Linked DNA regions of Alligator mississippiensis. The protein of the gene in region 2 purifies or fractionates together with the protein of the main gene of each other region. This does not show direct contact. Links are inferred from orthologs where the notes say so. Each region holds a gene or a part of one and is shown on either strand. Other genes may lie near its edges.

Region 1 (15,085 bases), on a different chromosome or scaffold from region 2:
AATAAAAGCACTCCCACTTGTGCTCAGCCAACAGGCTCTCTAATTACACTGGGGTCTGAAATGCTCCAAACACAAATACTCAGACTTCGAAACCTGCAGCACAGCTTGTCCCTGAGCCGATGTCTCGCTGCCTTTGGCTCTCTAGTTCTCCCACCCTTCCCCGGAAGCTCATCGAGGTCTCACGTGCACTCTGGCCTGGTTTTTTTCCCTCCTTTGTTGCCCCATAGTTTGCTTGGTCTGAAGCTGTTTTGCTCCATTATTAACTTTCAGACTGAAAGTGCAACTCAGGAAAAATGGAGTCATGTCTTCATGCACACACCCTTATGGCAGTGCTGCCTTACCTGTTCTGTATGACATGGAATGATGCTGCCAGTTTCCTTTGTGTCCCCTTTATGACAAAAAGTATTTGAAACAAAACAAAAAATTAGCTAGCATTGCACACCATCATTGTCACATTTCACCACCAAGGTCCCTTACAGACTTGTGTCTGGATTATACCATAGCCACAGAACTAAACAGCATGCTAGGCAGCCCTTCAAAGTTACTGTCAACAAACATAAATAGATACCTTATGCTAAAAGTCCAGTAGGCACAACCCAGCATCCTCAGGCGTTGTGGCGGAGAAGAAAAAGAGCATCTTGCTAGAAACAAGTCACTTTTGCAAAAATATCCCCCTCCCCTGGGAAAGGGGAAGTCTTTCAAAAATAAAATAGGCATTGGCAATAATCTTCATCTAAACTATTCCTATTGATAAAGGATTTTTCTTCAAGCAAACACTCCCAAGTTCGTGGATATGAATATTTCCCCACTAAGATCATAATGCAAAGCAAAACAATCAATTTACCTTTGAATAGTTACCTGATTAAAATTTTTGAAATTGAACTCTTTGTAGATGGCATCTCTTTCACCTAACTCAGACCATCCCGAAGATTTGAGGTCAAGTAAAACTTGATTCCTTTCCTCTGTGGTCAGCCAGTGTGACTGCGAAGACTATCAAGGGGGAAAGAAAAGAAATTCCAGAACCAAGGTTAATGTCATCTCTTTTCCTTATACAATACAAAAAAACAAACATGTGCTTAAATTGTGGCTATGCATTATAGAAATGTAATCCTTCAGGCTACCAGCAGCAGAAAATTTATTATAGGGCTTCCTTGCACTTTATAGTTGTATAGAATAGCATAACTCCCCAGGTAATGGAGTCAAGAAACCTACCTGTTTGGTAAATTCAGTTATCTACTCAGACCTAACTCTGAGACAGCGCTTTACTCTAGCACTGTGATAAAGTATGCACTACTGATCACAGGCATACGTGTGATAGGTAGCATGATTTAGTCTCATGTGTACTTGGCCTATGAGAATTATGCGCAGGATGTAAAGCTTGAAATAATTCCTGACAACTCAGTTCTGATATTTTCTCTCATTTAAATACTAAGCTAAATTAAATTTACAAAAAACATGAAACTGAATGAAAGTTAGCAAGCATAAATCAATTTTAAATTAGAAAGCACAAAGGCAACCAGAACCTGCCATGTATTATCAGCATTGTATCTTACAGTTCCTAAGAAGCCCAAAAAGAATTAAAAAATTAGGAAGAAAAGAATTTAAACTAATTGTTTTTAAAAAGATTTCTCCCAAATAAAATATACCCCATTGTATCTCAAATCTGCACTAAAAACTCCACTGATAGTACTGACAAGTTCTGCATTAGGGTAAGTGCTCTCACACCACTATAAATCTAGAGTAGCTAAATTAAACAGGGTTACCTGTTTTCAGAAAAAGTCTCATATTTGGAAATGTACTTGAGCACATTTAACTTTGAGCTAATGAGAAGTCCTATTGAAGCCAATGAGACTACCCAGATGCTTAATGCATTCATATTAGAAACCTGAGTTTCTTGCTAATACAAATCCTAAGTTACCATGAGGTTAGAATCAGACCTGAAGGATAGCTGACTGTTTTAAATGTTTCCTAACTTTCTTCATAAAAATATAAAATACCCTGCCTTCCAGAAGGTCTGAGCTATTAATGTGATACTATACTTGATCCAAAGACACCCAAGCCTCTGTTTCTGACCCCTGGTTCGTCCTAAACTCATATTAGAAACATAATGGTAGATCGGGGAGAAACTCCCAGTTATAAACTTCAAGTGGCCTTTATGCTGTCATATTATTAAAACAACATAATTTTGTGAAAAATTACTAACATTAGATGAAATATTTTTGATCATACATTGCAAGAGAACATTTATGTTGGGAGAGCCACACAAATATGTGTGTATGTGTGTGTGTGTGCGCGTGTGTGTGCATTTGCACAACTATTTATTTTGACAATTTTAAAATGTGCAGTAATAACACTCTGGCAATGCCAGCCTACGTAGACTTCAGTTGCTCTGATCTCGCACTGAATTTGCGACTCATTTGGCAAAGCTGATAGGTAAAACCAATAAACAATGTTTTGCAAATTCAGTCCAATACATACATGTGTATGCCGTATGTTGGTTCAGGTATAAAAAGTTAGCTCTTCACCACTAGATGGTGCTATATATTAAATCAGAACAAAAAGTAATTCAATTAATTCTGGTTAAGAAACAAAAGAGGTTTAAAGCCTGCTCTTTATTACTAAATGATCTTATGACAGAAAACTACAATAAATATGTGCATCACTTAAAAAAGACACAGATATAGGTATAGGCATCAACGCAGCACCTGCTATTTAACTCCACGCAGAAAAACATTTTAACTGACAGCAAGGGAACAAGAGCAGTTTAATCAGTTGTACTAACTAGATCTATATGTAGAACTATTTTGATTTGGTTAGATTTGTCCTTTTTTTAAACAGAGCAGTTTTAAATACCAAAAAAATAATGTTTCAATTTAATTTTGTCTCTCCAATCTGTTTCCTCTGCTTTAATATAAAAATTAAATGTCCCAGTATCGTATTAGTGCTGCCATAGCAACTTTTCTGGATTAGAATGTATTTTATACCTGATTTTAAAACACACATAAATGTACTCAAAAGTTAGTCTTTGGCCTGAAATTAGCCATGCATGTCCTCCCCCAAGAGGAGCTTGAGAAAGTTCTGTTCAGTGGTTTTCAAAGCAACAAACCACAAAACGGGGATCTGGGGGTACAATGGAGTTCGCCCTCTGTTGTTGTTGAGGAAATTGTCATTCTTAAACCAGTTAAGACATGTCAGTTGCTTTCTTGCGGCCTGATCTAAACCCCACTGAAGTCAAAGAGTCTATCCAATGACTTCAGATTAGCCCCTTGGTATTCAGGTTTAAAAAAAAAGCCCTAGATTTTTGTTAGCCACAAACTTGGTCCTCACTGAGCAATACCACATTTGACACTGAATAAAGTTTGTTTATAAATAATAGTTGTAAAGGCCACGTTCTGTAGATGTGCATGCCAACACAAAACTGCCACTGACTGAAGAAGTTCAGCAGAAAAAGCATATGCAGCATACATTAACCTATTTTTAAAGCAAAAGAGAGAAGCACAAGGCTCCAGGCACACACACCTGTCATATCAATGGAGCACAGCTCAACCTCACTGAAAATGTGGAAAAGTTCACCAAAAACAAACACAGCATGGACACTAAACTGTAAATATAAGACTTGGCCTACAAAATGATGACAAGTGACCCATGATTTACTGATTACGTAAGATGGGCCCTGAAGCTATTAATAAATAGCAGCAGATTTATTTGAAAGCAGTCTAAGGAAGGTAGAGAGGGATCCGAGTTAAAAGCATTCACCTCCTGTAACAGACTCATATATTACAAAAAAATTTTTTGTGGGTGTGGAGAGAGTTAAGGTCTCATCTTGCATATATGATTATCTACTCCTTGATATAAAAATCAGAATTGCTATGCTCTACAAAACCTGAACTGCCAGGTACTTTTGCCTCCTGGGAGAACAGAACAGGGACCCAAGCTGAGACGTACAAGTTAAACAGCCAACTCAAAGACTGATCGCTTGAGATGCCTGTTCAGGGCCCACGTGATACCCGCACTGATATCCACTTGGGGTTTACTACTCTGCCAAATACACTCCCAATGTATTTTTCAAGGCAGCATCTTGAAGAGGACTCTGCATTCAAATAAGCATTTTGGGATCGAGGGGATGGAACAGCCGGCTTGGGTGTGAAGGGCACCTGTGCAAAGGATAACAGGGAAAAGGCTAAGTCTGTTCAGTAAACTTACTTTCCTGGTTGACAAGGTTTCTTTGAGTGAATCCAATCTCTTTTATTAGACCAACTGAAATAGTTGGAAAAGTTTTTCTTAGCAAGCTTTTAGGTTTAGAAACCCTTCGCCAGGCTGAGGAAGCATCTGTAGATGGTGTGTGCTCTTGCAAGCGACACCAGCTCCTCAACCAGAAGCAACGTGGCCAGCTCCACGTGCAGCCTCGGGCATCTCCCTGCTTCCAGGCGAGGAGACGGCCTATCCGGGAAGTTCCCCACGCAACCAAAGCTGGGCGCAGCCAGAACACTTCCTCTTGTGAAGTTTCCTCATGAAAATCAAACTCAGGCATGGTTTGCTCAGAATGAGGCTGGCTCATGAAAAGCAAGCTCGGGCAACTCGCCCAAGAGGCCGATGCTTACTTCTTTAGAGCCATCCAGTGCAAGGCTGCCAATACAACTGAAACTGCCCATGCCCCGGGGAGGCCGGTCCCGACGGACAGGAACCCCAACGCAAAGTGAAGCAAGGGAGAAGCGACTCCATGTGTGCTTTTATAGCGGGTAAGTGTAAAGCTGCATAATGAGATAACAGTCCCAACGGACTGCCTTGTGCAAACACGAGCGACCTGCACCTATCGCACACGTGCACGGCAACCCTTCCTCTCTTCTGCACCTAACCGGACCGTAGGTGTAAGCGATTCAGCCTGGGAGCTCTCCGCGTTTCAAGGCTGCGAGGAGGGGTTGGGGGTGTCTGAGAGAGAGAGGGGCTTCCCCATCACGCACCTACGCCTCCTTCGATCCCTCGGAAAACGCCAGCGCTTAGCGTTCAGTCGTTTCTTGACCGTGAAAAATAATAGCGCCATTCTTCAGTTGCAGAGATGTGAAAGACCCGAACAGGTCAGGATGGTTTTGACACCACCGGTTTCCCTCGCTTTATGCTGCACGCGCGTGCCTGGAAAGCGGGCGTCACTTGAACTTGTGCGAAGGGAACCCGCTTTACAATGTCAAGGACAGGGCAAGGCCTCGACTGCACGGCCCCATGGACAGGACCGTTTTGGGCTCACCGAGAGCACCAGCGCGCACGCGCAGACACCGCCCGCCCTCACGGGGAGGCGACCACAGGACACCGAGCGAGGTGCGGGGCGCCCCGCTCCCACAATGCACCGCGCCGGGCACCTGACGGCACGCTGCCACCGCACCGCACCGCACCGCCGCGTGACGGCGCGCGCAGCCACTGTGGGGGATAGAAAGGGCCGTCGCGTGAGGGCGACTCGGCCCATGCAGAGCCCGCGCGGCTTCCTCTGGCAGCCCCCGGTGCTCGAGACCCGCCTGGAAATCTGTGACATGGGCCCTGGGGCGGACATCTCCCCTCACATGCGCCTCGACCGCCCCGGCCCGGTCCCGCCCGCGCTCACCATGGCAGCCCGGCTCCCGCGGCCCCGTCCCGCCGCCAGCAGCGCCCGGCGCAGCGCGAACCCCACGCCCGGCATCCCGGCGCGACCACGCGCGGACAGCGCGGGGGGGAACGGGCCCAGCTAGGGCCTGCGCTGCCGGGAGTGGGAGCCGCGTTCCCCCCCCCGCCGCGCCACGGGGGTGGAATGGTACTGGCCGAACCACGCCCACAGCCTGTGAAGGAGTGGTACGGCCCCGCCCCCCTGCCTGGGAGTGGTAGCGGCCCGCCCCCCCGGCTCGGCCAATAGGATGCGCGCGGGTGCCGGGGAAGCCGGAAGTCGGAAAGGGCGTGCGCTAGGGGCCGCCACGTGGGAGGGGCACCGCGGCTGCCGGTCTGATGCTGCGGCCTGACAGCTGTCCGGGCGGGTGCAGCGCGGAACCACCTGCCGCCGCTCAGGACCTGCAAGCAGAGCCCAACCCAGGCTTTATCCCAGCTGGTGCAGCACGGAACCACCCTCCCTCGCTCAGGAGCACCGAGAAGCACAGGGGCTGCAAGCAGAGTCCCACGCAGGCTTTATTCCAGGGGTGCCTAACCCGCCCAGACGAGTGACGCACAGCACACTGGGCTGACGGAACCCTTCCCCCCCCTCCCCCCACCGTCGGCTGCAGCCAACACCTGCACCCCAGCTTGTTCCCACCACCACAGCCAAGTACCAGCAATGCCAGCATCTTCCCGTGGTGCTGCTGGGGCTCCAACGCCACAGGTCTCACCGGGCCAGAGTCCCCCACCAAAGTTGCAGGCTCTGCAGGCTGGAGGTTTGCCACCCCTTATAAAGGAATAGTGCAAAGGCAACTGAAAATGTGTTAAGCCTGCCCCCTGCACACTGCAGGTCCTTTGTGCCATTCCAGCCCACCTTGATGAGGGGGGTGACTAAGGACACATTGCTGATTGCTTAGGACAAATAAATGACAAGACAGAGACAGGAGTAAAGGTCAGAGGTTCAGAACAAGTGCACTGAGAGGGATCACTGGGTGAAGCCCGCTGGGCAGTGCCCACTGGCCCTCCAACAGGTAGACACTACCCAGTGAAACTCTGCCCAGAGATGTAAACAGACTAAATACTGAGGCAAGGTAGACCTATGGTCTGACCTGGTAGATCACAATTCTTATGCTTTTATTATTAAATCCTTACCTGATGTAAAACAGCATTGCTCCGAAGTCAATATAGCTACACAGATCTACTTCAGTTGGAAAACTAACCAAGTATCATCATTCACGTAGGAAAAAATGGCTCTGTAGAAGCTTCTGTGCAAAACTGCCAATTCTGTCATAGATTCAGTTATTTTAGCTCAGACACATCCCATTTCAGCTCTCTTTAAAACCCGTACAGAAGGAGTATTAATTGAACTCTCCATAACTATAAGGAAATTCATACTGGCAATATCAAGCTTCATGAGAGGCAACACAAGTTATGGTTATCCATCTTCTCTCCTAGCTTCATTTCAGCCTTTTATCATAAACGTCTGCTGTACATAATAGCTATTCTCAGGCAGACAAGTAGAGAACATGCAACAAACCATATCTTACTCTAGATCCTCATTTAATATGGTAGGTCATAGCAACAATAAACTAATCCCCTATTTACCTGAGGCTTTCCAACTAAGATAAAAAACAAACGCTTGTGGAAATGTAAATACATCTCATGATTAGTCCTGCTAAGTTTAGGTGAGAAGCTATATTTCAAAGATTGCATGCCAGCCAGAACGAATGATTTTAGTCGCGTGTAAATTCTTTTCTACAAAAACAAGCAGTTAGGACATTTAATACAGGTAAATATAATATAATCCTTAGAGCAAAATGGCAGATCCTTACAGACAATAGTAAGCCCACAATAGTAAATAATACCTAGCTTCAGGGCCAAATATAACACATGACCACCTGCTCTCCCTGGCTGCACAATGAAGTTTAAGGTGTTTACTGCTGCTAAGCTTCACCAACTGGTCCTCCCCACCCACACCCCATCACACACACACCCACACCCCAACACACTCTCTCTCTCTCTACCTCTCTCAAACAGTCCTTCCTAAAGGTACTATGACAGTATCAAATGGAGGAATAATTACTCTTAAATGTTATATTATTCATCCAGCTTTAAACATATTAAATTTATCATTTTTTCCTTGTAGGTAGCAAGAAAGGAACTACACAAGCTTAACAAATACACTCTTCTCCTGAACCTCCATTTGTTTATTTATTGCACCAATAATTACCACCCGTTTCTGACATCTGCACACCCAGTAATTGGCTAAAACATCTGTTCTGTTAATCAATGAAATTATAATGAACAAATTCACAGTGTCAATATATTTCAACTGATTTCTTGCTTTATCCACAGGCACAAAGTAGTGCCCTCATTTCATTCTGAGAACTCAAGAACTTAATCCTGATGCTCCTGTTCTTGTCCTGGTATCAACCACCGAATGCTCTCAGTCCGAATGGTGGCATACATAATAAAACTAGCCAGAAACAGTAAGGAAAATAAAAGTAGCCAATCTACTCCTTTTGTCAGAATGCTCGGTAGGGGGCCCTCTCGGTCTTCCTCAGTCACCACCACATCAGGTTTAGCTTCTATTCCTGAAAGAACAAGAAAAAAGGATCCACTGATTAATATCAATAGTATTAGCCAAGTTTAAATCTTATGATGAGTTAGCTGGAGGTGGACTGTATTCAGATTCCCAAATATGCTGCTGGATTTAACACAGTTCTAGTCGATATAGCCACGGGACCCTTAGCAAGGGTCAAAGATCCTCCACCCTCCTTTAATAAGTAACTATCGGTCTGTCATACTAGTGCATCATCCTCCACATTCAGAAGGGCAACGTGTCTTAGAAAAAGAGAAGCCTTATCCCAGTGAGATCAGAGCCCAGGCAGGCACTTCCCAACAACAGATCAGAAGGCAATATTTTACAGTTAGAGTGGCCAAAATCTGGAACCAACTTCCCAGGGAAGTGGTCCTTGCCCCTACCTTGGGCAAATTCAAGAGGAGGTTGGATGATCACCTGTCTGGGGTCTTGTGAACCCAGCATTCATTCCTGCCTGTGTCAGGGGGTCAGGCTAGATGATCTGTTCAGGTCCCTCCTGACCCTAGCTACTATGAAACTATGAAATGGGAAAAGGGCCAAAGGCCCATTGTTCTCATCCTCCTACTGCCCCCAACACAAGAACTGAGACCAATGTGTGCCTAACCTCCTGCCTATCAGGGAAAGGACCCTAAGACATCTGTCTCTCTCCCCTCCTGGGCATAGTAACTAAAATAAGGATACTCCTAATGTGTGTCCACTTTTATTCCCAATAAATTCAGGGCTTTGATGGATAAAGGTGCTTACTCTCTACTCAAATTCTCCAGCTGACTCCCACCCACAATAGCCCCGACCAGAACTGCTTTTGACAGACAGGCTCCTAGCTTCTGCCCCTCCCTGAAATCACCCTCACGGTAAGAAGAAATTTCCTAAGACATTTTCATGGATCCCCTAATACAATTTCAGTCTGGGGCTACAGCTGACCCTCACCCTCACAGCTCTACATACCTGTTTGATTAAAAATAAATGCCTTCAATGTTTCCAGGGTCCGATCCGTATGATTAAATCTGGCCATAGGTTTAGCTCCTTGGAAAAGAAGGATATTAGGAACCGCCACAGTTCCAAATCGGGTTGATAAACTGAAGGAAAGAAATAGGTAACAATAGGTAGTATTTACTTCCTGAGAAAACCAGAGTTTTCATCCTCTTTTGATTCAGACTCTAGATGAAGCTACCTGCTATGCTGAGATGCATCCAGTGCCACAAAACGAAGAGTTGGAAATGCTCGAGGCAAAGAATTAAAATGAGGAGCCAGGTTGGCGGAGAAACGACACCAAGGAGTGTAGAACAGGACCATTGTACAGTCACTGCTGTTTGGATTTAAAAACTCCATCAGGTCCTACGAGAGGAGAAGAAGAAAGCAGATTAGAAAAAAGAAGGGCCAGTTAAATGTGAAACAGGACTTTATTCTCCATCAGTGCATAATCTAGTAACATTCAGGAGGATGAGGCAATACCACCAGGAGCAAGTTTGAACAGGCTTTTCAGTAGCATTTTAATGATTCCAATTAACAGAATGTGGTCCCCTTTCTTTTAACCCTATTTCTCAGTTAGGAATCTCCTTGGAAACCAAGTAATACTTTGGGGTTATCATTATAAAACAAATGCAATAGTTATTTTCCTTGCTCTCTTCCCTAAAGGGCTGTGCTTGCTGGCTTTTGATAACAAACCAAATTTTGTTCATCAAAGTGGGGCTCAGCTACCTCTTGCCTTCTCCAGAAGGGGAAATCCAGGCCCTGGCATGGACAGGGAGCTAATGTTGGAGAGGAAAAGGAAGTGGAGTTGTTGGTATTATAGACAAATGGGAGAAGAAACAACCAAAAGGAAAAGCTCCAAGATGACAAAAGCCTGTGCAATGCAGGGCAAGTAAAAGAGCCAGAAGATAAAGGGGAAGTTTGAGGACAGAGCAGAACAGGGAGGTGTTCACTGGAGAATCACAGAGCAATGCAGAAGGCAAGCAGGCTGGGAGTAAAGAAGGAGGTACTTGGTAAACCAAAGTAAACCTTCCACCCAGGAAGAGCACACACCAACTGCGGATGCTTCCTCAGACTGACAAAGGGTTTTTAAAACGGAACTTGCTAAGAAAAAACATTCCAACTATTTAAGTTGTGTTAATAAAAGAGATCAAATTCACCCAAAGAACCTTGTCTACCTTGGTAAACCAAAGGCATTCAAATGAACTGGTTCATGTTCTCTTCCAAGTCCATCCCATGCCCTCGCATTTGGGGTAATAAAATGTGAATGAAACAAACCCTAACGAGTTCTACCACTTTTGGGGTGGGCTGAGGGTTTAACATCCCAAATATTTAACAAGTTTGTTAGCACTCATCCTTGTGATAAAAAGGGAACAATTCCTCCTGTAACCTCCTGGGAACAGGAACAGCTTAAGGAGATACTCCCATGATGAAAAGCTTTTTGCCGGGTTGCTTCAGAGATGTCCTACACTCATGCTTAGTGTTTCAAATTCCACTGATATTTTAGTAGAGCTTTTCAGAAACAAATCCATCATTCGTATTTCAACCACTGCCACAGCTAACACTTTAACATTACAAATCTCTTTTAACTTTAAAGTTTTAAGGAAGCCGGGGGGGGGGGGGGGGGGGGGGGGGGCAGAAAAGCTGGAAGGAATGGAAACGTCACACATTTGGGTCAAGCAATCAGAGCTTGTGGACAGAGGTGATATCTTTTATTAGACCAACAAGATATTTGCAAAAAAGATGCCTTTAACTTGGCTTTCAGGCATGAACACCCTTTGTCAGGCATCAGAGAAAAGACTGTAAAAGTTCTCCTGAGTAGAAATGAAGGAACGAATGAATGACAGACGAGGTGCTCTGGGTGAATCCGATCTCTTTTATTAGACCAACTTAAATAGTTGGGGGAAAAAAAATTCTTAGCAAGCTTTTGGGGTTTTTTTTAAAGAATTTCTTAGCAAGTTTCTTAACCTGGCAAGTTAAATAGTTTCTTAGCAAGCTTTCGGCTAAGAAAACGTTTTTCCAACTATTGAAATTGTTCTAATAAAAGAGATCGGATTCACCCAAAGAGCCTTGTCTGCTCACGTCCTTAGACCAACCTTGCTACAATCTACACCCCTGAACGAGCGAACGGACACTGGCGACGCGCAGGGGGTGCGCCACCCGCGAGACCGGAAGTGCCAGTGGAAACGCACTTCTGGTTTCGCCGCTGGAGGACCCCCCACCCAGACCTGGGGGGGGACCAGTCGTCCACGTGAATGAATGAATAAATTTCTACTCACGACGACTCCTACAACCTTTTCTCCAATGCCTGATGAAGGGTGTCCGTGCCCAAACGCTTGCAGTTAGAGACTTTTTTTGTCAAAATCTTGTTGCTCTAATACAAGAGATCACCTCTACTACGAGTCCCCACTGCTTTTTCCTGTAGCCCAACACGGCTACCGCCCGCATCCCCAACACACTGGGGTGGAGCGCTACACGCAGCCCGCGGGGCCAGTCTCAACCGGGGCCTGGAGACCCTCTCACGGGTGCCCCCCCAAGAGGGGCGGGGCGGGAGCCCCGCGGCCCACCTGGGAGACGTTGAGGACGTGCAGCGCGGAGCCCCGCGGGCCGGGGCCGCTGCGCTCCTCGCAGGCCACCTTGGGCGCCCGGCCGCCGTCCGTGCCATTGGCGTCGTCGGCGGCGGCGGGCGGCGGCAGCACGGTCTCCAGCACCACGACGGGCTCGGGCTCGGGCTCGGGCAGCGGCGGGCGCTCTCCGGCCTCGCACGGCGCCTCCGCGTCGCAGGTGTCGGCGGGGAGCAGCGAGAGCAGCGCGGGGGCCGCGGCGCCGCCCAGCATCGCGTCCGCCATCTCCGCCGTCTTGTAGCGCGGCGGCTCCTCCGCCGCCGCCGCCGCCGCCAGCAGCAGCCGCAGCGCCGAGCTCAGCCAGGCCGCCCACAGCAGCATCGTCGCGGCCTGGTCTCCACGGACAACCGCCGCTTCCGGGGCAGCGCGCTCGCTTCCGCTTCCGGGGCGCGACCCCGCACGGGCTGCGGTCAACGGTTCTTGCCGCCATCTTGGGTCCGGGCGGAAGAGTGTAGGCCCCCGAGTGGGCCGCGCAGCCGCACTCGCCCCCTTGAAGCACACCCCCCCACCCTTCCCCCCCCCCGGGCTATGGGGCCAAAAGGGAGGAGCAGCCGCAGCCCAGTGCCATGGACCACCTGGGCCAGCAAGGCCATCCAGCCCAAGGACACGTCCGTGGGGCAGGACGAGCACCTGGGCCCCAGCGCAACCTGCTCCACCGTGCGGGAACCGTGACCGACTACTTCAACCTGCTGCCGAACATTAATTTGATTATTTTTTTTACAACCTTTTGTCATCATTATTGTCAGTCATCTTCACGTCATGGTCGACGCATCGTTGCCTGTTCCAGCATCTGAAGCTTTCATCCATCTGGTTTCTTCTCTCGCAGACCGTCACGGAGGCCTCAGCTGCCGCCCTGGAGGACCGGACCAGAGCCCCTTCAGCCGCCGTTTTGCACAGCTCGCTGGAGACCTTCGTGGCACTGGAACGACGTAGCGAACCTTACGAGACGCACCGTCTCGGCAACGCTGAATCTTGAGCGAAGTGTTTACCCGACGGCCCGTCACCGTTATGTTGCTATGAATTGCGTGTAGGCCGACAGATCTGGCCTCAGGGATAAGAGATTTAACTGCCATAGACAAGTTTCTCGTAGCGCTCGGTGGGTCCTCCCGACACGCCAGCCGAGACGGATGGCCAAGCTTCGTCCCCTAGCTCTGGAAGGAGAGTCACAACCGACGAGCCCAAGCCCAGGCAGGGCACCGGTCTCTGAACTGAATGGACACTCAAGTGCTCCAGCATTTCGCTCCTCCTTGACTTAAGTGACTTCCCGCTCGGCTTTCCGGCGTCTCAGGATCACTGCCATCCGCTACCGATTCTCCACCCCCATTGTAGGAAGCCTGCATACCACTCGGGGCCAAGCCTCCCACTAGGCACCAGGCCACGTAGAGGTCAGACACAGCAATGCTAAGAGAAAAAAAAATGCCTAAATAACTTCAAGGTCTAATAAGGAAAAATGTTTCCAGCTACAGATTACATTGTGACCCTATAGTCAAAGCATTATACACCACAAGATTTGCAATGCAGGAGTTTTACGATTGGGTCCCATGAAATAGCAGGCCACGAAGGCTGAGGGCGGGGAAGAAAAGTAAACCCTATTCCTTAGAGCAGTGGTTTTCAATCTTCTTTTCATTTGTGGACCCCTAAAAAATTTCGACTGGAGGCGCAGGCCCCTTTGACTTGCAAGCGTGGGTATTCACATACTTTTGATTGATCATGGTCAACTTTTCCAGACCCCTTAGACAGTCTGCATGCCCCCAGGGGTCCATGGACCACAGGTTGAAAACCACTGTCTCAGAGCTGTCAGATACAACTGAGCTGTGCTAGTCGTTGTCACAGTCTTGAAGACTTCGGTATAAACTAGAAGGTTTTCTAAGGGAGTGCTGTGACATCTCCAAAAAGTGTCCCTTTTAAAGACCCCCGGCCTGGGCTTGGCCTGCAGACCACAGCAGCTCCACTTACCATGCTCGTATACACCATTCCAGCCAGCAGGTGGCAGACTCCACATAGAACTAGGAGTCAATCTTCTTACTCGAATATAGTGTTTTTATTATCACAATACTTTGGAGACTTCTCCGATTAATCCTCTCGGGCATCGGAGAAACAGGTCACATTAACCCCATTTTACAGATGGGGGAAAAAGCAAGGCAAATTACTTACCTTGGGGCTGTACAACTGAGGTGGTCTTGGGCTCAGGCTGTGGCTAAGGGGAACTTTTGATTCCTGCAAGCATTCTCTCATAAACCAAATCAGAAGACTACTTAAATAACATGCACACACCTCGTTATTTTAGTTGAACTTTCACTAAGATCTCACCTGTTGTAAATTAAGTGCAAGGGGCCATTTCAGAACGTACAGAATTCTTTTGTAAACTAATGTTATTTTAATTTAAACACATGATGGCCTTAAACTCTTATAAACACATGCTGCACAGAGAAGCATACTGGTCTATAATCTGTAGGTCTAAGTATTATTGCCTTAAGATAACTGGGCACAGGCATGCTAGGAGTATTGTTTCTAAACAGGGACTAGACGTGAATCACTTTCTGGGAGCGTCTACACAAGACACTACTGCGCAGTGGTTACTGTGCTTGTATTGAGTACTTGCATAATCAAGTACTAAATAAACATGCAGTAACTGGAGTTACTGCGCAGTAGTGCCGGCAAATGCCTTTTAAGTGACACTACTGCACAGTAGCCTAATAATACTGCGCAGTAGCATATTAGCAATGTTAGTATTGTGACACGCTACTGAACAATATTATTCAGCTACTGCAGTTAGCATCTCATGTACATGCGCCCTCTTTGAAGCAAAGTCATCTTTGTCACATCCATACACGATGTTAAATGAATGTTGTATAGGTGACCTTGGGAGATCCCTTCTGGCCCTGCTTCCCTATATTTGTAATTTTCATTTCGACAGCAAGATGCAGGATTATAATTTCACAGCAGAAAGAGGAAGGTAACAACTTCATTAATGTGTTGATTAGCTCAGATTGTATCACCCATTGTAATTTTAGTTTTCAAATATTAAAGTATCATAAAATCCCTCCTGGCAAGTATAACAACTTGCCTAACGACACAGAGCATAGCAGGTCAACCCCTAGCATTCAGTTCTTAGCTCCCAGACATTGCAAAGTGAACAAAAATATAACAGAAAATCTGTTCCATGGTTCTGAAGCTTTCTGTGAGGTAGCTTTGAATCCAGCTTGAAAATCCCCTAATTTCCATGTCAGCATGCAAAAATAGAAGTTGCATTAGTTTATTTGCATTATGTTTACACACA
Region 2 (15,747 bases):
AACACAAGTCCTTTTCTTCCAAATATGTACTATTGTGACTGAAGTGCCAGGTAATGTGCAGTTAAGTCACAAGAGTTTACAGTCTAAATTTGTGACATTCTGCATTTTAGTTCTCATTCCAGTAACAAAACTAACTTACATGGTTTAACAGTGCAACCTCCAGCCTTCAACTGAGCCACAGATGCTCTCTCTTCATGGGATACTGCAGGAATAGTCTGAGGGTCCTGATATAGCAGTGGCTTTGTGTAAAGGACAGGGTGACATTATCTAGGTTTACAACAATGGATTTTTCCCCTACTTCCAAACTCCTTAGTTGGATAGAGGCAATTTGTTGAGCATCAAGATCAGATTAATCTGTTTTCTTGGATTTTCCAGAAAGGGGGAAAATTGATGGGGAATATTTTACAGGACTCTGAATTGTTTGCTGTTGTATTTGCTTTACAGGGTTATGCTAGTAAAGAACTTTTAGTTGTTTTTATACTGATGAATGTTTACTCCCCAGGGTTAAAAAACACACCTCTGATTAACCAAAGGAAAAAAAAATCCTTCAGTGCACACACACACAGGACCTTTGCATCCTTAACAGCATAACAGAGGTCTCTATATTTAACTCATCAATTTCCATACCATGTCCAGCTCCAGCATCTGTGATGTTCCTAAAATTAATAGATGTTAATCTTTTGTTTCCTAGTCTCTGGAATCTGCTGGCTCTGACTGGCCTTTGGCTACAGTAATTGTAGCAGTTTCCATGTCTAGAGGTTGCAAAGGGGCCAGTATCAGCTGGTACTTTTCTTCTTAGAGCACAGGGAAGCTTCATCCTGTGGTTTAAAACAAAGGTAATTTATTATCTTTACTGGCATTTTTCTGTAGTGAGTCGAGATGTCAGCTGGTCTTTTCCAAAAGCAGCCTCTCCACAAAAAGCAATGGTGAAATTCAACTTAGTCTAAGTGTAGTGTGGAGTTCAGAAAAAGGCAAACACTTTCTGAATAGTATTTCTGTTCAAAGTACTTCATTAAATTTAGGTTACTACATAATACAGAAGATAATTCTATACACTGGCTGGAACAGTTAAATCATTACACTCCACTCCACAGAACAGCAAACTAAAAGGAATGAGATTTATCATGCTATCATAAAAGGCACTTAATTTATGTGACAGAAGTGCTAAAGCAGCTTAACTATGATCAACTAGAATAATTCATAATCAAATGCAAAGTAACCCCTGTAGCAAGCTGGAGTTCTAGGGGTAGCCATAACATCCCCCAGTGACCACACAACCCTTGCTCTGCTCCACCTCTAGGCTACCCCCACCTTCTCACTTTCCTGCCACACGTTGATGTACATATTTGATGTAAAGAGTGGCTGCCTAATGGGTCCTAGAGGATGCCACAGTTCCTCTGGCAGCTAGCAGGTCCCTCCCGGACCCCATCAGTCTTGACCCTGCCCTCACGTTAAGTGGGGCCTCTTGGACTGACCTTGCCCTGTGGGCAGCAAGAGCCTTAAGGCTATTCGTAGCCTCCAGCCTCCACTATAGCTGTGGCTATGCCTCGCAGGTGTTGCTATCTAGGCAATCTTCCTGTCTTGGGGCCTTGGCCTTTCCGGCCTTTGCCCTGTTTCTCTCACTGGGCCATCCAGCCAGGGTCTGCTGTGCTGGACCCAACTTCTGGACTTCAGCTCTTTTTGTGCCTACTTTGACTCTGTGCTGGGCCCTCTGGCCCTCCCTCTGCCTTTTTCCAGGCTTGCAACACACCTGTACCACTCAGGTACCACTGGGACATCCATGCCTCCCCCAAGAGGCCAACTCAAACCAGTGGTCTAACTACAATGAACAAACAAGCCCTCTGGCCATAACATAAATTAAATCTGCTCCAGATGCTGTGTATAGAACAAAGCTTCCCCTTACCCTGGGCTGCATTTCTCTAAGTCATCAGTGTCTTACTGGCAGTCCCCAAGGTAGTTCAAGAATCAGCCAGGCATCTTCCTGCAGTCTTCCTGACCAGAAGCTCATCTCTCTGTGGCTCAGACTTCCCTTCTGGCTCAGACTCTGGTCTGATATAGTCTACACCCTGCCCCTTCTGACCAGGGGCCTGACAGCTGGTCTCCATGGCAGCTCACAACCGCTGTTCTGGCAGCATCCCTGCTGCCCAGGCTTGGCTCTGCCCTACTGTCCTATTGCAGAGCAGCTAGCTCTGCAATAGGCATCATAACCCTTTGTCTTCAGCTGTTTACTCCCTTGTAGCTAACTCAATCTAGGAAGAGTTCTCCTGCCCAGCTGCAGGTGTGGCCCTTCCTTTAATGGGCAACTCCCTGACCAGACAGCAGTGTTTCTCTGCTGCCTTCTCTCTTGTAGTTGGTCTATATTCTGCCGCCTGGACTCTTCTTATCAGCTGCAGTTTCTCTCTTTCCTTATAGTAGCAGGAGCCCAAGACGCCTCATTACAACCTTTTCACAGTATAAAGATATAAAGCACATCCTGGGAATGAATGTACACCTCAGATGGACACCTGGGAAAGCAGAAAATGTTTTAAACCTCTGAAAGGTAAAATCTGTTAAAAAACAGACTGGGTTTGGTCACTGTAGAATGAATCCCCCCACTCCACAAAAATATAACATTTATCTTGCATCAACTGTGAAAGGATCCTGTTTGGTCCCATGTTTGAATTGGACCAGCATTCCCTGGGCCCATTCTGCATGATCAGACTTGTCCTCTAAGGAAAATAGGAACATGTCAGTTTTCAGCATGGATGCTTCAAAATGAAGAGAAACATCTAAAAAATTACTTTAATTAAAGTTTGTGGCTAAATTATATTTTTAGTGTCTCTGAGTAGGGTCAGATGACAGCAGCTAAAATGGTGATGGCTGGTCTCCTCCTGCTCTTAGAGCTACCTTGTCAGCAGTCTGGTCCTACTCCTTTACATGCTGCACATGTAAAGCCTAACAAGAGGTGCTACTCACTACAGTATTTTCCACCTAAATCAAACCAGTGAATACAACTGTGGTAACTGTATCAGTCAGTCCTTGGGAAATGGGTAACTTGTATCCCAAAATTATGCTGTCTGGGATCTATCCTGGAAGCGTTTAAATTTCTCCATGCACACAACTTCCTTCCAGGGTAGTAGCTCAGTGCAACTTAATTTTTTAACAGGAGAGTTGGGGACAGGTGGGGCATGGGGAAGAGGGGGAGGTGCCCCAAAATGTTGTTTGCATTTTATTCCTTTGCTGTCCCATGCACAAATAATCTACATCACAGTGACACTTGCTCTTGTGACTAATGCCAGAGATCCTGATTTTCTCTGTTTAAAAACATAAATTCTCTGGTAAAAGAAAAAAACCCCAAATTTTCTGACTTAAAAACCCAAAATCTGTGTTTTTCCACAATTAAAATTAAACACTACACACACACACACACACAGAGGTATCAATTGAATACAATTGCACCCCCTGCTGCTTTGTGGCCTTGAGCAGCCCTGATATGCTGTTGCCCCTCACTCCCAAACCATAATGCCCTAGCTCTGCTGGTGCCCCTCACTCCCAACCCACAGCCCTCTAGCCCTGTCGGTGCCCCTCACTCCTGACTCATAACCCCTTAGCCCTGCTGGTGCTCCCTACTCTCAACCCACCGTCAGTGTCCTTTACTCCTGACCCATAGCCCCCCACCCCGGTTGGTGCCCCTCACTTCTGACCCGCTGTTTCCTCACTCCAAGTGTGTGAACAAGAGAATAGCTGTGTGGGGAATGTGTGGGAAGGCACAGGTGACCGGGGGGGGCACATACCCCCCAAGATTTCTGCACCCACAACAGGACATGGGGCTACAGCAGGGCCAGACTGTCTCTAGGCAGGAGCCATCTCTGTGGCCCAGCAGAGGGACCCAGTGCACCATGATGAGTAGGCATGGCAGGGGCAGCAGCAGTGGTATTAGTGTAGAGTTGTGCCCCCTGCTGCTGCCAGGTGGGCAGGGAGCACCTCAGCTTGGCAGCACAGTTATCCCTCCCACCCTGAGGTCCCCAACTGGGCCACAGAGACAGCTCCTGGCCAGAGCTGATCCACAAGCCCCTCCGTGGGCACAGAAGTCTTGGAGGGCACTGCCCCCTCCACCCTGCTAACATATAGCCTGGGCCCCTTTCCCCCTCACCCAACATGTGCCTTGGCCCCCTTCCCCACTTTACCTAATGTGTGGCCTGGGCCCCCCCCACACCTCACTGCCCAGGGACTTACCTGGAGGGAGCTGTGGGAGCAGCTCTCCACCACCCTGCCTGGCTACCAGGTGCATGAGCATATGGAACAAACAAGTGGAACAGAGGACAGCAACAGCAGCAGCAGCAGCGGGTCCTCTAGTAGAAACTGGAGCAACAAAGACAGAGAGACCACTTGAACTGAGTATGTGACCCGGGAAGTGGGGCAAGGGTGGAAATGAAGGAAAGGGAGGGACCAGAAGGGACTGATTTTTTGTGTGTGTGTTGCACTCATTTGTGGATATTGTAACAGGTACGGGTGACCAGCAGGCCTTTGTACAGGTGTGCAGGTGCAGATTTCTGTAATGGGAAACGTTTAACCATTTTGTGATGTAATAGGTAGAGTGTAAATATATATATAACTTTATATATATAGAGACAAATATTTTTACAAAAAAAAAAAAAAAAAAAAATGCATGTGGTGCCCCCTGCCTGGCTGCCCTCCTCCCATAGCCCTTGTGAGCTGGAAATCTGCAAGCCTGCAAGGGGAAACCCACCATTTCCTGCATATTTGACTTTAAAGGCAAAAATCCATGATTTTCTCCTTTAAAAAGAAAAGCCCCATTTTGTTCCATTCAAAGAGAAAATCTGCATTTTTCCATAGCAAATGGAAAATCCAGATCCCTGAATGACTAAATGCTTCTCCCTTTATAGCTCACTAGCTCTGCTCCAAGCATCAGTGAAGAAGGTTATTGAACAGTGACATACAAGATTTCAAGCCCCAGCATGATCTCAATAGCAATTGTCTTAATATGATTAGTACCCATTCCAATGTTTTTTAGCATCTGAAATTAATCAAGTTACCAAACTGCCTGGGAGGGAGAAAGGAAGATGGTCTCATGGGAAAGGGGTATGGGATATCTGGGCTCTGTTATTGGATCAGCTGTTTTTCTATTTGACTCTGGTTATGTCACTTAACCTCTCTGTGCCTTGGTTTCTATAGAATGCTTAGCTACCATCATAAAGAGCTTTGTGTTCTGGAAATAAAAAAGTTATCTGGTGCTTTACAATTCAGTGGCTTCGCTACTGTATGAAGCAATGACACTTCATTCATCAATGTTTGTAAAATACTTATAGAGAGCCAAAAATTAAGACAGCTAAAGCATGTTACATATCAATTCATCTTTTAAAAATTTGGAACTCCCTACAGTTAACCACATGCTAAGGAATGGAACTTGGGCTTCTTTGATCTGGCCATGTCATAACAAAGCTATTGGGAAGAGAGATTTGAAACCTGTCTGACTTACTACTGTGTTTCCTGAATACACAATATGGAGAGTTTCTGACTTTAGTAAGAATGACACTTAAATAGAGAATGATCCCACATAGCATAGTAAAATGTACTGAGGAGAAAGATTCTAGCACTGCTTTGGGTAGTTACAAGATTGTGCATTTCATACCAAGGCCTTCCCTGCCTCAGTTCCATCATATCATACCTCTTCTATGTAATTGATATAAAATAGGTCCAGAATTCAGATTTTGGATGAGTTTAAATAAAATAGTCCTCAATCTAATATTGATATAAATTATTTTTAAACAAAGACACTAAAGTTTAAGTCTTTCCCTGCCATGACTTTAACCCAGACATTTCAACACTGCTAGTGCATAAAAGCCTGAAAGTTAAACTATTATATTTGCAATACTCATTCTATAAAAAAATGGCAATGGAAGGTCAATGTTAGTCCAAAACAGGTTATATAAAATAAGTATTTTCAAAACCCACAAGCAATAAAAGATTTCCATGATTACCATTGTTGAAAAGAAAATAATAATATTCTTCAACATCTTTCTAATGTGAATGAATCAGGCAGTGAAGCTGGGTAAAACAGGCCAATTAATTAGTGTTGTTAGCTCATTTTATATTTCTGCCAAAAACAAATTGGCAAACCTTAAATTTTCTGAGATGTAGCACAAGGAAGAAAACTCTGAATCTGAAAGAGTCCTTCTTAATATTAGGGTTATAATTTTGCACATGCAAAGAGAAACTAGGCATTGTTACTCCAAGACTCCACATCAGTACTGTCACTTTTTTAAATATATTTAATTGCTTTTAATGGCCAAACTGACATTTTCAGTGTTTTCCTTTACAATTTTCCACCCACAGTTGTTTGCTCAGTGTGAACTTTATATAGATGTTATCCAATCTATGGTATGTAAATATGTATTTTGCTTTAAGCTGAAGAAAACAAAAAGCATTAAAATAAAGGAAACCTTACAGGAATAAACAACAGTAAGAGGTTTGGTGTTTATGCCTGGTACACCAACTCTGGGTGCAAAATGTTTATTCTGTCTGCACAAAGATCCTAGAAGTAAAGTAGTACAGAATACAGAAAATGTACATTACAGTTGGGGATTGTAATTCAACAGAATAAACATTGTCCAAAGGTTACATTTGAGTACCAGGCTCCTGGTATTCCTGGAAAAAAATGCAGACTCCTGGTTGCTGTCCCTTTGACCATGCTGAGGCAGTGTTCTGGAACCCTACATTAACTGTGTTCACTTTTCTAGCCTGCCAAAGGGAAGATATGCCTATGAAGTGAGGCCAAACAGTTAGCGGAAATCCTTGCTGAAAGTCTTCCCTAAGGATGTAACTGTGGCTTGCTATGCAGTCCTACTTGAGAAGAAGCTTGATCCATCATCTGGAGGCTTGGCACAGGACAGGAGTGCTGCTGAGCACAGACTATGCAGCTCCCAAAGAGAAGGAAGTGCCAAAGGTTACTCTGCAGTACTGCCTTTGGCCTGTATTTAGGCTCCCTGCTCCATCCAGCTTTCCTCAGGTTGGAGCTCAGGTGGGAGTGTAGAAAAGTAAACAAACTGGGGGAGCTAGGAAAATCCTCTCACTAAATCACTGTGGTTAAAATCCTCCTGTTTCTGATCCCACTAGGAAGAATCACACAGTCTAGCTTAAGTCTCTACAAGCTACAAAGTCTATGGTGGAAAATCAGACTTTCATGAGTAGATTATTTACTTTGTGCCTTGAGTCACATATTTGAAGGACAGAAGAGACCATCTAGTCCAGTCTCCTGCATTATGCAAACCAGAAAGTTTGCACTGCATCCAGCCCATTACCCTGGATGTGCTAGATCATCTCTTTCACAGAAGTCATCCAACAAGTGCGAATACAACCCTAAGGCTGGGTAACGTAGTATCAGTGGGGGTGGAACTAGAGTGATGGCAAATGGAGCTACTGTGGGCAGCACTTGCAAAGAGAGGAGGAGCAATCACGGGTAGGGCAGGAATCTTTACAATGCGCCAACACCCAGTCTAGCACTTGTGCGTTTGTTTTTTTTCCGCCTGCTTAGATTGTAGGTCCAACAGGGTAGGCCCCATGATCTGAGCATGCTGTTAGCAGCTAACCAAATCAGTAACTAAAGCAGTAAGTTGCAATGGCAAGAAAAGGGAACAGGTAAGTGCAGACCGAGCTATTTCAGCAAATCAGAGCCAGTGACGGGAGCAAATGCAATGTCGCTTAGGCGACAGGCAATCAAGTGATCCTATCCTGCTGAAGCCAGTTGGAGTCTGTAGAGAATAGTGGAGACCTTGGGAACATTAGAATCAATCCAGTGGTTGTACTCATGGGGGTTGTGCAGAGCTCCTGAGGCTCCCAACCCAAAGCTTTTGGAAGGGACTATGCCAACATTCTGAGGCAGGTAGCACCTGGTAGAGCTAACACCAAATGTTCCGGGTCGGGGTCTGCACATTCAACAGCAGTAGCCTTCCTTTCTGGAGTGGAGACGCTACAAACTTACTTCCAGCCCCTGCTGTCTATCTCTGCTCTTAAAACATCACAGCCAAGAACCAGCCACACTTTCGCGCTCTCACTTTCCAATTCCCCTCTTTTATCGCGGTCTCCTATCCTGGCTGTTCCTCTGTCCATTCCTTTTACTCTCCTTTTCCCATCTGCCTCCCTGCCTTTCCCCCTCCCCCTAACTTGCGCTCTCTGCACTTTGTGAACTGCTGCTGCAAGGCTGAAGTCCAAAGTTCAGTAACTTGCTAAGCACACGGATAAATATGAACCTTGGAGAATTTACATTGCTCCAATGTAAACAGATAGCCAAGGGTCCCTTTATCAGCACTGGCTCAGGACAGTCGTGGGGGGTCTGAAGCGGCTCATTTTTGTATTTTGTTTTTTTGGGGGGTGTAAAGGCGGGAGGCTATGCCATTCCACTCCGCTGACAGTCAGGCGTGCTACCTCAGGAATATGGTGTTGGGATAGCCGGAGGCAGAACGAGTTGAAACTCAAATTCAAGAGGCATCAGACTGAAGACCATGGTTGCAAAACTGAGCCATCTTCAGGTGGAGTTGCTGGGAGCACTGCTGGAGTCAGGACTTACCAAGGAGACTCTGATCAAAGCACTGGGTGAAGTAGATCCCTATCCGCTCCAGAGTGAAAGCCAGCGCGCCATCAGTGCCATCCAGGGAGAAAAAGGAGAACCCTGTGCTGAAATTCCCAATCTCCCTAATGGGATGGGAGAGTCCAGGTTATCCGAGGAGGAAACCTCTGATGATGGGGAGGAATTCACTCCTCCGATAATGAAGGAGCTGGAAAACCTAAGTCCAGAAGAGGCTGCTCACCAGAAGGCTGTGGTGGAGAGACTATTACAGTAAGGACACCATTTTTCTTCTCTTCCTCTCTCCCTCCATTTCTGTTTTCCTCACTTCTTCCATGCAGTATATTAGCATTCAGGGTTGATCGGGGTGTGCAGAGATTGTCCCTATCACTGCCAAAACTCACCTACCAAGTTCACCGTCTTTTATTGATGTTCAAACTTTTCTTCTGATCTCATTTCAAGCACAGGACCAAAACCCAGTTACACATGAAAAGTTCTAATACTGTCTGGGAAAAAAGGACTTCAGAACAATCAGAGACCTGTAGAGCTTCTGCTTCTTTGGCTATGAGATTTTATAGAATTCACAGTGTCTGCCACCAAGAAAAAAAACAGGACAAGTCCACACAAATCTAGACAAGGCATGAATTGCCATCACAATAGTCTGAGAATCTGCACTGCAGGAGGAGAAATCTTCTAAGTTTTTCCTGAGATTTTTACAAAGTTGTACATATTTTTCTTTACTGACTTTGGTACAGTCAGGTTTGCCAACAAAGACAAACCAATAGGGCTTGATCCGGGTGTCTTTGTGCAGACCATATGTCCCCTGACTTCACTGGGGATTTGGGTGTAGATGGAGGGCAGACCAGCTACACTCTAATAGTTGTCAGCCCTGGTAAGCATGCTCAGTGTCTCCATTTCCCAACATGTATACTAAATATACACAGGGATGCCATCTACAAGCTCTACTGTTGCACAAACTTGCCTTAATATACCATCATATTAGGCAAAAAGTATGAGGAATTCTCTCTATCAATCTATCTAACATCAAGAAACTCAACCACAAAACCTCACATTCTGAGGTTAGGGTCAGGCAGGAGACACTGGGTAGCTGCAAGGTCCCAGAGACTCAATTTGCCATTTAGAATCTTTCTGAGGCAAGCTAAAATTAGTCTGGAGGGCTGAGAGGCTTTTTGTCCATTCCTCTCTATGGGAAAAGGAAATACAATTAAAAATGCAACAATGAAAAACAAACACAAAACCCCAGCAAAAGCCCATAGGTAGCAAAACAGAAGAGTAAGAGTAAGGATTAATATTTAAGAGGGCATACGTTCATTGCTTGAGCTCTAGAGAGTCTGGGAAGATTTAGAGCAGATCACATTAAAGTGCCTGATGGAAAAAAAAAATTGGAACAGCTCTTACCTGGAGAGGAAAATGTTCCACACAATTAAATCTTCTTACCTACCCAAGGAGCCTCTCACCTTCCTCTGCCACTACTTTTCATACCCCTCTTTCTTTGTTACAAGCCCCAGCTGTTTCCATCTTCCCTGTCCTACTCCTCTCTCTTCTTTCCTTCTTTTGCTCTCTCTCATCCCCACTTCTGTCTAGCCCCACTGTTTCTGTGTCTGCCTATCCAGCTCTTTCTGTTCCACACATCTTGCTCACTCCGTCTCACCCCTGCCTCCTTCTTCCCGAGTATGCGTAGAGATCTTGGGGCAGTTTGAGCTCCAGTTGCACCGGGCGGGCCCTGACTAGTTACTAATTATCCAGTGCCTTTATTATTTCTCTTTTGTCTTATAAATTTATAAACAAAAAGACCCTGATAAGCTTTTTGATCATTAACTTCTGATGATTTATCGGGTGTCTCTCCAGAAAGGAAGCCATGGAAGAGTACTTGGCTTTGTCTTCTCTCTAATAAATGGATGAAGCAGGGGTGGGACTCTGTCCACTGTGCTCTGGTACAGAGAATCTTGCACCTGGAAGGAATTCCTGCCCTTGATCTGGGAACTGATCATGGTTCACCTTGGCATAAACTCTGATTTCTGATCTCTTACATTTTGTTGTCAATTTCAGCAGGCCGCTTATTCCTATGCTATGCATTTATAATGATGCTCTTCACTTCTTAAGTACTTTCCAACTCAGGATTTCAAGCTCTTTGTAGACCATGATTTGAATGGCATTCCCATTTTACAGGTGAGGACACTGAGGCACAGAAAAGCAAAGTGACATGCCCAAGGCCATGTTGAAAATTAGTAGCAGGATTAAGAACAGAACCAGGATCTCCTGGAGCCTCATTCTGTTTGTGTCTTACCACTGATCTCCTTACAAAAACTCAGCAAAAATAAATTTCCCTTAGCCATAAATGTTGTAAGAAAGAGGTCAAAATTATATTTCTATCATGCATTCAGGACTGTATTAAAGCAATGCTTAGGACCCAGACTACAAAAAAGGCAGGTAGGGTCTTCATGGAACATATTAAACCAAAGCCACTAGAAGTACCTCTGAAATGGGGTAGTGGAGAGATTGTTCTGATAGGAAATGTGATTTCTGTCTTTGTGTTCAATGTTTTAAAAAACAATTGTTTTATTGGGGAAGCAAATTCAATGCACCTGGGTCAATATCAGGGACTGACAGTGGGGAAGCAGCAGACAACAATAAACCCCCCCCCCCCCTTTAGCAAAGGAACTATTTTGTGATAGAAGATAACCTAAGGAGGTTGTCCTTAGAATACCATTATATACAATTACACCTAGTGCAAAATGGTATATTACAGAAATTCCTTTCTACGAGCTGGGACATCACTCAATAGAGGGTTTTTTTGTTGTTTTTTTTGGGGGGGGGGGGGGCCGGGGGGAGTTTCCCTTCCAAAATCATGGTGGTAAGATTCTGTTTTGTTCAAATCTAGCGGCCAAAGCGAGCACTCCAAAGTGCAAATTCCACCTTGTGCCATACCAGCAATTCTGGGACTAACACTGTCAGCAACTTTATAATACAGAAATTGTCTCATGAACATCTTTTGTAACTATGGTCACAACCACTTACTTTAAGATCTGTAACAATTGGTTACATGGAAAGACAACCTTGGGTTCATTATTCTACACTTTTGATACACTTTAGAAGCTGGAAACAAGAAGAGACCACAGCATGTGACCAAACATTTCTTTGTAGACCTTTAATATGTACTCTGTGAACCACTTAGTGGTTCCCAAACTGTCAATGTAGATCACTGATTATGCTCAGTAAATACAGGATATAGGTAAATCATATAGATTGCCCTCACTCCCTTAAAACAGCCTTAAGTGCACTCAGTGGAGTCCGTTTCATGTTGTCCCTACAGAATATACTGATCATGCACAAAAGGAGGTGTCATTAGTAAGAAATTAAGAGTCTCCCCTCCCCTCCCCCATACTGTGAAGCCCAAAGAGAAGAGATGAGGAATAGGATTTAGATGGAGGAGTCTCATTGATTTTATCCATGGGACTTGCAAACCTTAGCACTTTTGGGCTTTTGAAAATTCCTCCCAGGGACCCTCCAGAACGGAACAGGACTGGGGTGTGTTAAGGAGTAAAGTAATTCCTGGGGGCACTTATCAGATATTTCAGGGGGAAATGAGAGAATACAGACTGGCTTTGGGAGCATAACAAGGAAAAGAGCAGACTTCCACAGCAGAGGGGTTTACTGCCAACATATGATAAGGAGTGCGGGGTCAGGGTAAGGGCTGCTGTACTCTGGAAGGAGGCATAGGAATCATTTGCCAAGAAAACAAAGGGTAAAATTCCATTGGGAAAGCAGGAAATGGAGACTGCAAGCACATTTCCACCAAAGCCAAGGGTGAGGGCACATTTTCTAAAGGGGCATTGTCCAAGAGCTAATGGCCCTGCCCTTCCCCCAGACAGCTACTTGCTGGGGGCAGCCATAGCTGAGGGTCCAGAGATGAAGCTACCACACACCCTTCCATTTAATTATATGGTTGTATAAGCCAGAATGAGTCAAACCAGGCCACATTCAACAGAAAAGAACCCTGCTGGGGACAGTCTTACCTTCCCTGCTCTCTGGCCATCCCAGGTCCAGTCTGTGCATTGACATCAGTGATAGGTTTCTAGTAGCCTCCAAAGGAAAGCGCCAGAGAGATTGCCCCAAGCATTTCAAACCTCTAAACACACCTTTAACTAAGTCCCAGCTCAAAGAAGGAGAAGGTCAAAACCTAACTCCAAGAACTTAGGGCTTTTTCTGCCAATAAAGGGAATCTGGAAAAAAAAAGCGAAACAAAACACATTGCCCTGGGAGATGGTAGAGAACAGGGGAAGGAAGGAATGGAAAGAAAACAACCTGGAAAATGAGGAGGAGAGAGATGAGAAGGAAAAGAATAGAGAGAGTTTGGGAAGAAAACCCAGGAAGAACAAAGAGAGAAGGTCCCCTGAATGTTACATCCCCAGCTCTCTGGAATGGGTTTTCTTTAATGCTAACAACTTGATATTTACTTTCCATTTAAATTTGAGATGTTGCTATAAATTATCAACCAGCCTCTTGTTCCCTTTGAGTTTATAACTAACTACCTGGGTTACTTATTGTTCAGGTAACAAAAGGGAGGTGAAAACGCCCTTTAAAAGTGACCTCAGAACTGAGGAAATGGGAAGCTGGAATGGAGACCAGGCCTAGGCCCCAGATACCAAGAGGGGCAAGGGAGTGTGTGTTCAGAGGATATGGAGAAGCCAAAGGCAGGAGACCAGAACATAGGAAATGAAGAGTGAGTAAAAGTCTATATTATGTGAGGACAAGAAGAATATGGAGGAAGAGGCTGTAGAATGGGAAAGAAATAGGTGAAATTTTGTACTTGGAAAGAAGAGAAGTTGAAGACAAAGAGGAGACTTTGGAAGTGAGAAGTGGTCAGGAACTGAGCAAGGCCAGCCCAATTTTACAGTCCCAGCTCCCTAAAGGCATTGGGACCTTTGCCAAATCAGTTCAGCAAGATAAGGCTGGGAGTGGAATCCTACCCTCCTGCTAGAGACCACAGGAGTTTTGACACTGACTACAGTGGGGCAAGGATTGAATAGGAACAGAAGACTGGAAAGGACCTTTTGGGACATGAAGTCTGTTCACAGGCAAATATTTATCCAGACAGTCCTAGAAACCATCATGCTATAGTATTTTGGTCAATGGTTCTACAGGTGGTGCTGTGATGTCAAGTGAATATTCAACTGCCCTAGAAACACAGCCTACTCTACTATATAGGATCATAATGTCCATCTAACACTGCAATTACAGTCTTTGTTACAGGAACACAGTCAAGGCTTCATTCATACTTCACCACCCTTTACCACATGTTAGGTTACCCAGGCTGTAAAGAGATTCCCCAATCCAGGTGTATTTGAAGAGCAGACACACCTTCAAAAACACTCTCAACACTGGCAGTGCATAGTGCTTGAAACTATACAGTAGAGTTTTAAAACAGGATTAGAGGATCAGGCTCACAAGTACCTCCACCTTTCTTCCTACCATATAGCACTAAATATCCTAGTGAGAGAGAGAGAGAGAGAGAGAACTTGGCATCTTACAGCTGGAAGATGAGAAGGAAATCAATTTCTTACAGAGGTTTCTATGGGTGATAATAAGGTCCCCTCTTCTTCTCTAGCTGAATCGGAAGCATACTTTGAAAGAAGCCACAAGTCTCAAGCCTGAGTATCTTCTCATTCAGGACCCTGAGCCTCTGAGTAGGGGCTGGGTATGCATTTAGAGAAGGCAAGTATCAGAGCACAGTTGCTGGATAGGTTCACTGAAACAAGCAGTACCTAAAGGGAGATTAATTCTTGTCTCAGGAACTGATACACCACTTGCTTAAAGCTCAGAAAGGAAATAGCTATTGGAGTCAGTCCAATTTGGGGCACAGGGAAGATGGTGAAAAGTGGAACACCCTAATACAGCTCTCACCCACCCTTTATGAGAGGGATGAGTGGTCCCATTTTAAAATAAACTTTTTCAGAAAGTTGCCCATCAGCCTCCCACTGCACCGACTGCAGCTGAGCTTGCTCCTTGGACTGTCCACCTGTTGTGGAAGAGGGTAAAGCAGGAACAGAGATAAGGGTGTTTGTACTGAGGTAACAGATTTGGACTTTGTCCTCTTTATCACTTCGCAGCCTCTGGCAACCCACTGAGTCAACAAGGCAGCTAGAGCTGTGCTGCTGCCCAGCCTTCAGACCTCAGCTCTCCTGCTACATCTTCTCCAGAGCTATTAACAATACTTTGTAAAATGTTTAAGCAAGCACATAATTTAGTTTTGAGACTGGGTCAAAGCAGTACAGTGTGTCCGCTTGAGGAAGAGATTTCCTTGGGAATGCAAAGGTGCCATTATCCAGCACAGCAAATCTGTCCAACTTGGGGTAAGGAGAAGATTAATTGTTCTCACTGCTTCTGGTGTCCACTCTTCTTGTAGGCAGAGATAAGTCCTGGCTGATATTCTTGAATCCTTTCTGCTGAGCCTGGATACACAGCCAAAAGATTTTTTCTGAGATGCATTTTCTCTTCTTCCTAGAGAGGATCCCTGGAGGGTAGCAAAGATGGTGAAATCCTACCTCCAACAGCATAACATTCCTCAGAGGGAGGTGGTAGACACCACAGGTTTGAACCAGTCCCACCTCTCACAGCACCTCAACAAGGGCACACCCATGAAGACACAGAAGAGAGCAGCCCTCTACACCTGGTATGTCCGCAAGCAGCGAGAGGTGGCCCAGCGTAAGTACAGCAATAACAGGTTTCTCTAAGTTCTAGTCTCATACATCTCCCACAACTATCCCCAGCTCTGAGGTGGAAGGAGTGCTTTCCAGCAGGAAGTTTAGACAAGTCCATGTCAGTGTTCAGTGGGGTGACCAATTGAGTGGTGGCAGAAACCCCCAAAACAGCATGCAGCCACCCTTTGCTTTTCATACAGAGGCAGATTATAGGCTTCCACTTGCAACTCTACTTCTTTGTCCAAGCAGAGGCCTCTGCTCGCTCACAATGGAGTATTGTGTAAGAAACACAGGCAGAAGTTGGGAATGAGCAGTGACAGAATCCAGGACCTTCAGCCTCAAAAGCAGGCCTCTGAAATTTAATCTAATTAAATAATTCCTCTAGCTACAAGTAAGCAATAGACTGCTGTAGTCACTGGAGCCAGCCATTAGTGGAATATCATCTCACACATGCTAAGCAGG

What was found.
Region 1: the proteins of HNF1A (region 2) and PCBD2 purify together in Homo sapiens (affinity purification with mass spectrometry; 4 studies listed by BioGRID and IntAct, with this or other methods). This does not show direct contact. The link is inferred for Alligator mississippiensis from reciprocal best matches to the Homo sapiens genes HNF1A and PCBD2.

Annotation. Positions count from the first base shown.
Region 1 is NC_081832.1:70,579,280-70,594,364, reverse strand, and holds the start of PCBD2 (pterin-4-alpha-carbinolamine dehydratase 2), read right to left. Parts: upstream 5,762-15,085; 5' UTR 5,669-5,761; coding exon 5,594-5,668; intron 5,064-5,593; exon of another isoform or gene 4,962-5,063; intron 991-4,961; coding exon 859-990; coding exon of another isoform or gene 845-858; intron 389-844; coding exon of another isoform or gene 342-388; intron 1-341. Other genes in the region: TXNDC15 (thioredoxin domain-containing protein 15), read right to left, coding at 8,008-8,204, 9,158-9,288, 9,384-9,547, 11,749-12,126.
Region 2 is NC_081833.1:20,598,653-20,614,399, reverse strand, and holds the start of HNF1A (hepatocyte nuclear factor 1-alpha), read left to right. Parts: upstream 1-8,237; 5' UTR 8,238-8,501; coding exon 8,502-8,836; intron 8,837-9,982; exon of another isoform or gene 9,983-10,550; intron 10,551-12,600; exon of another isoform or gene 12,601-13,200; intron 13,201-13,222; exon of another isoform or gene 13,223-13,263; coding exon of another isoform or gene 13,264-13,307; intron 13,308-15,089; coding exon 15,090-15,289; intron 15,290-15,747. UniProt on the Homo sapiens protein: Transcriptional activator that regulates the tissue specific expression of multiple genes, especially in pancreatic islet cells and in liver. Binds to the inverted palindrome 5'-GTTAATNATTAAC-3'.